Linked DNA regions of Nothobranchius furzeri. The protein of the gene in region 2 purifies or fractionates together with the protein of the main gene of each other region. This does not show direct contact. Links are inferred from orthologs where the notes say so. Each region holds a gene or a part of one and is shown on either strand. Other genes may lie near its edges.

Region 1 (4,216 bases), on a different chromosome or scaffold from region 2:
GTGAAGCTGCTTTTAGCTACTATGCTGCAAACAGATGGACCCAGCTTCTTTGTGACCTCAAATGTGCCCCAACTCTAGAAACTTTTAAATAAAAATCTTAAATTTTAATGTTCTCCCTATTGGAATGCACATTAAATTGCCACTGTGCATGAAATGTGCTATACAAATGAAACTGCCTTGACTTCTATTCAGCTATGATGTCAAAATACTGTAACTGCAAGCAGCATGCACAAAAAGCATGACCTTTAAATTTACAACATCCTGCTGTGGTGGCAAAACACAAACATGCAGTAGATGATCTATAAACTGTGGCTGAATCGATCAACACTCTCAGTTATCCTAGAGGATGCATGACTGAATAAAAACAATTCTTGAACATTAAAAGTTAATCAAAAAGAAAAAAGGCAAAAATAAATAAATAAAAAAACAAATTTTTTTCTCCAAGGTCAATCACTGCAGATTTGCTAAAAGATGACCATTTAATCTTACCTGACTGGAACACATAGCGAGCCAAGCCTTGCATGAGTTCAGCTGGCCACGTTGGAGGTGCCGTCTCTCCCGCCTCTCTTTTGAGTCTAAAAGTGAGCTCAAACCCAAACCCACTGGGTCCATCTGCTCCAGTAAATCTGCAAGAACGGTGAGGCAACACTGAGCATGAGCCAGTAAGATCAGTGGTTTTTGCATGTGGTGTTGAAGGTTTCACTGTAAAAGGTGTATAGTGCAAATATTTATCCGACTGACTGGTGACACCCCACTTTTTAACTAAATTAACTAGAAATTTACATATTTTTTACACAAAGTGGCTTGTCATATTAGAAAATAATAAAACTTTTCCTTCACTCACTCGTGAACACGATTGTCTCCATAAAGGTCACTCAGGCCAAAGCTAACATAGTGCCAATGCTCCTGGACGTCCTGGGCTGGACAGCCCATGTTCCTGTACATGCTGATGTAGTCTAAAGGGTCTGGTCCACCAAGCCTGTTAAAAGAGCAAAATGCAAACCATCAGTCATAGAGCACTTAGTTAGCATGTGGGGCGTAAAATTACTTGCTAGTTTTTGTTTTCATATTTAGTTCTTGCTTGACTTGTTTGATACTGGATAACAGATGTTAGCTGAAGCATCTAAAGTTTATTGAAAATATTGTTTAAATCATAACATCATCATCACAACATATAATATTATTCAAGCCTTCGTTTTTTTATAGCTTTTTTCCCTTTTTGAGCATTTGTTATGATGTGTAACCATGGCAACAAGCTAGTTTACAATCGGGAGCAGCTGATTAACATTGGAAAGGCTGAAATAATACCTCAACTGAAGCCACAAATCCCAAATGAGCTAAAACGCAAGAAGCGTGGGTGCAGAGCGGGAGCAAAACGGAAACGGAGAAAGAGGAAATTCAAACCATCTCTTCCATTGATCATAATGGGCAATGTGAGATCACTGGCCAACAAGATGGAGGTCCTTTCAACGACTCAGCCAGAGTTTCTGCAGTTTCGGAACCACTGGAGGAGATAATGCAAAGAAGGATTCTCCAGAGAATCAAGAAAATTATGGACAACCCTGAGCATTCTCTTCACAAGACTGTCCGACAACGGAAGAGTGTCTTCAGTCAGAGGCTTCTTCAGTTTCTCTGCAACAGTAATCACTAGTGGAGATCCTTCCTGCCAACAGCCATTGTAATATACAACAACTCTTTGATGACTTGATTATTATTATTATTCTGAGCTACTACAGCAATCAATTTCCCTCTGGGATTAATAAAGTATTTTTGAATTGAATTGTACTTCTAGGAATGGAAATATAAAATATTTGCTTTCTTTGATCTATTAAATGTCCCTGGCAACATTTTAAAAACTGCTTAAATATGAGTTTCCATCATAAATGGGTTAAGAATAAGACCTCTACCCTCAGCACAACTACTGAGCAAATATCAAATCCTATTTAAAACAGTCTAATGTGATAATGAAGATTGCATTTCATATTTTCTTGTTTTATACTGAAAAAACAACGTTATAGGTTGCCTCACCCCAATTTTCCTCTTTCCGGAGATTCTGGGGATTAAAGTGTAATACTTCATGTAGAGTTCAGGTGAAATCTACATATTATCCTAGATAGGTTTATTCTTCAAACACCATGCTAAAAGTATTACTGTAGAATTATAAGATACTGAATATTTGACAATAAATCAGTTAAGAATTATAACGTCAAATTTTCTGTATACGTATTATTTTATTAGGTTGTCTTTTGAATATTGCTGTGCTTGTATCGTGTTTTGTAAGGGACACATATAGCGTGAGCAGTTTTTTTTGGCCACACGATCGTTTAGAAAGTTAGCAAAACTGTTTACGTTAGCACGTAGGCTAAGCTAACTGAAGGCTAGCATTTAGCTAAAGCTAAATAAACGCATTCACAAACTTCACGCAGGCATAATTATACCAGCAAAAACAAAACATGTTACATACCAATACTTAACAATGGCAGTAACTTGCAGAGGGTTGGCCTGCTCGGGGTAAAGTCGCCGACATTCTCCATAGATAGCCTGTAGTCCCGGAGGAAACAGCGGCACCAGCCCGTGGGCTGGGGCACCACTGGTAGGCCGTACTTCATCCATGCCAGGGCCTCGAACAAGTCACTTTTTTCTATAAAGAAACAACGTATAATCCGTTTAGTTAACTTGTTCACCTACATGAATGCTTCACAAACGAATTGTGTAACCAGAAATAGATTACTGTGCTAAAACGTTGTTGGAGCCTGTTGCTCGTCCTGGTACACAAAATAGAGAAAAGGGAGCATTCAATTGTTCAACTATTGGTTGGGCCGGTGTAAACGTCATTGAGTGAATGGTGTTGTTAGCCAATGACAATGAAATATGGATTTAAACATGACTGTGATTGGCTGAGTGGTTGTAAGAAGGCGGGTATATGTTCAGGGTTGGGTCCTCATAATTCAGAAGTTTCTCAGGGGGCAGATGATAACATAATTTTAGAGTTTCATTTTTGAAAACATATGGTGTTAAAATACGCAGCAAAGTGTTTTCCATTGAAACGTCTGAGATGAAATTTCAAAAGACTAAAATAAATAAATAAATGAACTAATGTTACAGCTTAGATTTTAAGAAATATATAACTAAACTAATATAAAACTATGTTTCACAAGGTTATGCCAGGAAGTAAAACTTTTGTGAACAGCATTAATGGGCTGTTTTTTTCTAAAACTATGACTCATTCCTTATAAATAGTAAACTCAAACAATTGCATGTCTGGTTTTGTTTGGGTTCATGTAGTCTTTTTAAGAACTTGTTCTCTTCACATTTCTTTGTGCTTTGTAACCAACAAATCATCACAATACTTAAATAACTAAATCAAATATAAAACTGAAGTGAATGTGTCATGAAGGCCGGCTGCACTCACTGATATACATTTGGCAAAACCACCATTTAAAAAAACTACCACAACCATAAAGCTGGGCATTTGTTGAATTGCATTAAACAACAACGCCTAAATATCTGCTCCATATAGCATGGAACTATAAATAAGCTTGGGGTTTTACTTAATTATTGTCCAGAACTCAATGAAGACAACTGCATGATAATTTGTTCTTTATTAGTTGTTTTATTTTATAACATCAAGACAGTTACATACAAAAAATTAAATGAACATCATATAAACATACAGATGACATTCCGGGTCACAACAGTGATAATAAAATCACTTCTATATTCATGTACATCTATATCTGTTTCCTAAATCATTATTGTGTATAGGCTAATCTATTTTACAAAGTTCTGTAGACAGTATTGTGAAAAAAACACAGTATTAATGTGACGTTTCTTCACATTTATATTTTTGGTGCATTTTAATGTAGTTTACATATTTTACAAAGTTTCCACTGTGGCTCAACTATATAATAACTATATTGTTCTGGTACAAAAACAGAAGTAATTTTAAAAACTGTCGTGGATCACAGTGAAAGAAAAAAAATTTGAATTTTGATCATTATGGCCTGGGAACAGGAGGATTCTCAGGTTTACAGAGAACCCAACTATTACTGAGGGCGTGAGTAAAAACTGTAGGGAAACTTTCAGGCAATAGATTAAGAACAGAAAATATACGTACAGACTCGTCACTCTGAAAAGCTCAGCTTTGATATTGTGACGTGGCCGACCTATGATTGTGATGATTCCGATGGATGTTATGAGCATCAAGTTGATATCA
Region 2 (3,513 bases):
CAGTCTTATTCATTATTGATTCATTTATTAAAATAAAATAAGCATTAAAGATGATTTCTGTGGTTCAGAAGTTATTTCCAGCCCAAAAGGAACACGATGGAGGTTTTATCTGTCTGATGAACATCTGGATTTAGGTCTGTGGGGTGTCATGGTCTGGTGTGGAGACGGGATGAAGAAAGAGGCAGGATGCACCCACGCCATGCAAAAGGAAAATAATGCAATGATTAAAGCTGAAGACAGAAAACCGCCACCTCACCTTAGAGTAGTCTGTCCATTAGCCGGAGGTTAAAGGAGAAACAGAAATAAGGAACAATCCAGAGTCTAAAAACACGTTTCCTCTGAGTTTAGGAGTCAACTAATCAAAAGGACTGAAGCAAGGCAGGTTAGGAAAGAAGAAGCGTGCAGCTGATGCTTCATCTGAACTCACCACTGAGTTCTCCGTCTTGATAGACTTGACCTGCAGACAGTCCTCCGCCCCTCTAGAGGTGCTGTTGGCCTCGGTCTTCCCATCCACGCCTCTCGATCCGTGCCTGGAGTCGTTCTCCCCGTTTCCTTTGGGCGGCTGCAGCCTCGGCGGAGCGTCGCCGCGTTGCTTCTTTGTGACGTGGGCTTCAGGTCCGTGGACGGTCTTAACGTGCTTCCTGAGAGAGCTGGGGTCAGTGTAGCGCTTCGTACAGCCCGGGATTTTACACACGTACGGTTTCTGCAACAGGGAATTGAAATGATTCACATCCAGTAGGAATCACCTTTACATGGAATTGTGTCCGTCAGTCTTTGAATCTGGTGTTTCTGTTTACCTAAACAAAAGGCTAAAGGTGTGTGTGTGTGTGTGTGTGTGTGTGTGTGTGTGTGTGATTTTATATAAGGAGCCCAGCAGGTTGCATCGAGTCACTGACTAGTGTCAGAGTCTGTACGGTAATCCTCATACTAAGCAAGCATGCAGCGACAGTGGAGAGGAAAACTCCCTTTTAACACAAAGAAACCTCCAATCCTGGCTCAGTATAAGCAGCCATCCTCCACGACTCACTGGGGTTGAGAAGACAGCGCACGCACGCATGCACGCACGCACACACACGATGGACTAGAAGTAGTACTTTATATTTTTAAAAAGTAAATGTCAGACAGACGATCTGATTGGTGGACATTAGCAGTTAGAATCCATTCGATCCTTCATGTCGATCCAATTCAATGTTAGTTTGATTTGATTTTTCATCGTGAAATAATGAGGCTAAAGTTGCGTTCTCTGTAAAACATCAAAGCCGTGCATGAACAAACCTCGTTCGAGTGTGTGCGGTTCTGGTGTTTGGCCCGATCGGAGGCGTTGGAGAAGGCCTTGTTGCAGCCTTCGTGCTCACACACATAAGGCTTCTCCCCGGTGTGGGACCTGAGGTGGGTTTTAAGGTTCTCCAGGCGAGAGTAAGCTTTGGAGCATCCCTCAAACTGTAGAAACAGAAACACAATCAGACTGGAGTAACTCCAGGCTACGTAGTCTGCAGCCGTGAAGCAGCAACACACACAAAAGAGCTTTTAGGTGTAATCAGTCCTGGATGCGTGCCCACCTGATGTGGCGTGCCACACAAAAGCAAAGCTCTGTTACACTTTAGCAGAATAAATAAATAAACAAATAAAAGCACTTTGTGGGAAGTATCTAAGTGTGAGGTGTGGTGGTGCGCTCTGCCTGCCGGGCTTTGTTGAGACAAAGACAACTCTGTGTTTTAGCGTTTGTGTTCTCTTGTACTCTACATGCTATAATTTGGTATTCCTTCTAAGCAGTCATTGTGAGAGTAATTGGCTTTGAAATTAAAAGAGAATCATATAAGAGCAGCTCAGAGAGAGGATAAAAACATCAGAAGACTTTATGAGATGTGGTTGAGGAGGAGATGGAGGGTTATGAGAAGATGCATGTGGGATTTGAACGGAGAATGTACAGCCTGAACTTAATAAGGACCCCTGGCCCCCTGCGCCTCTGCAGAGTGTAATTACACAGTCACGCTGTCAGTCAGCGTTTTAACGTTTCGCCTTCACAAGTGTTTTAATGCATTCACAAGAGCCAGCCAGTGAGCTTTGAAGCCACAAGCAAACAGGCACTAAGTCTAATCTTCAAGGAAACGCCTTGATTTATCAATGTGGACCAGATCACATGATGAAAACCTCTAACTAACGACATCTGGATCCATCCGTCTGAAAGCTGCACCTGGTCAAAGGTTCAGTCACACTGAAATGTCCTGGTGTTGTGGGCCAGATGTCTCCGGAACAGATTTTAATGAAACAAAACCTCAGATCTCCATAGACTGTTCTAGACTCGGCCTCTGCTGCAAACTCCCCCAGCAAAGCAAAGAAGGCTGAAACTCCGTTGGAAGTTCAGCTGGAACTTTTAGTTTGGAAGTAAAATATGAAGGATGCCAGAGGAAAAGGGACCAGCAGGCGTCCACCACGACAGGCCCTCCTAAACCCAAGCTCTTACTGTGCACTTGTGTGGCTTCTCCCCCGTGTGCCGCCTCATGTGGACCACCAGCATGTACTGGGCCTTGAAGGGCTTCTGCTCCCGGGAACACTCCTCCCAGCGACACACGAATTCCTTCTTCTCCCCGTGGATGTGGTCATTGTTGATGTGCTGCGTGGACAAATCAGATCTGGTCAATCATCAGCACCGGGAGCATGTGTTCACAACCAGAGCCGTAACTGTGAGAAGAACCTCGAGTGTGTTGACACGTGTGAGTTGGAACATTCTTGTGTTTTTCCCACAATCAGGTTCTCCCTCCGCTGCGCCGTCAGCAAGACGGGCGGCTCTATATGTTATCGGTGACAGTTTTAATGTCAATAGGAGAGCAAGGCAATAAAACAACTGTTTGTTCAGGCCGTGTGCGTTCGCCGTTACTTTTCTTCAGGAAGAGGAACTTCCTTACGAGGCGACTGAAAACAAATCAGCACCAGTCGCTTCCCAGGGAGAGGCTGGTACCAGCAGAAGTTTGGGAGGACTTGGAGACTGGAGTGAAAATGAGGAGAAACTTTGAATTTTCGCCGTACAGCCCGGCCAACGATTGGCCGGTTTCCTTTCAGCTCCGACTCGTCTCGGATGTGGGACTACAACAAATCACACTCATAAGGAATGTTTTAAAAATCAACATTGTCATCATTTTCTTGGGGAAATTTAGCATAAATATAAAAAAAGCTAGTTTTTACACAGAAGAGTGTATAAAAGGGAGTTTTCCTCTCCACTGTCGCTTTATGCTTGCTTAGTATGAGGGTTGCTGTATAGTCACTGACACTAGTCAGTGACTTGATGCAATTTGCTGGGTTCCTTATATAGGAAACCTTATTTCTGATTGGCTTAATGAACTGACCTGAATTGGAATGTTTATTATGTGAAGTGCCTTGAGACGACTCTTGTCGTGATTTGGCGCTTTATAAATAAACTTGAATTGAAATTGAATTGAATTGAATTGCATTTTCCCAGATTTTTCTACTTAATACTTGTGTTCTTCATGTTAAAAGACTTAAAGGTCGTCGGAT

The links.
Region 1: the proteins of gli2a (region 2) and sufu purify together in Homo sapiens (affinity purification with mass spectrometry; 3 studies listed by BioGRID and IntAct, with this or other methods). This does not show direct contact. The link is inferred for Nothobranchius furzeri from reciprocal best matches to the Homo sapiens genes GLI2 and SUFU.

The regions. Positions count from the first base shown.
Region 1 is NC_091752.1:22,197,726-22,201,941, forward strand, and holds the start of sufu (suppressor of fused homolog), read right to left. Parts: upstream 2,813-4,216; 5' UTR 2,732-2,812; exon of another isoform or gene 2,642-2,731; 5' UTR 2,614-2,641; coding exon 2,465-2,613; intron 1,505-2,464; exon of another isoform or gene 1,405-1,504; intron 980-1,404; coding exon 845-979; intron 627-844; coding exon 490-626; intron 1-489. UniProt on the Homo sapiens protein: Negative regulator in the hedgehog/smoothened signaling pathway. Down-regulates GLI1-mediated transactivation of target genes. Down-regulates GLI2-mediated transactivation of target genes. Part of a corepressor complex that acts on DNA-bound GLI1.
Region 2 is NC_091747.1:25,493,811-25,497,323, reverse strand, and holds part of gli2a (zinc finger protein GLI2a), read right to left. Parts: intron 2,615-3,513; coding exon 2,465-2,614; intron 1,441-2,464; coding exon 1,276-1,440; intron 704-1,275; coding exon 428-703; intron 1-427. UniProt on the Homo sapiens protein: Functions as a transcription regulator in the hedgehog (Hh) pathway. Functions as a transcriptional activator. May also function as transcriptional repressor. Requires STK36 for full transcriptional activator activity.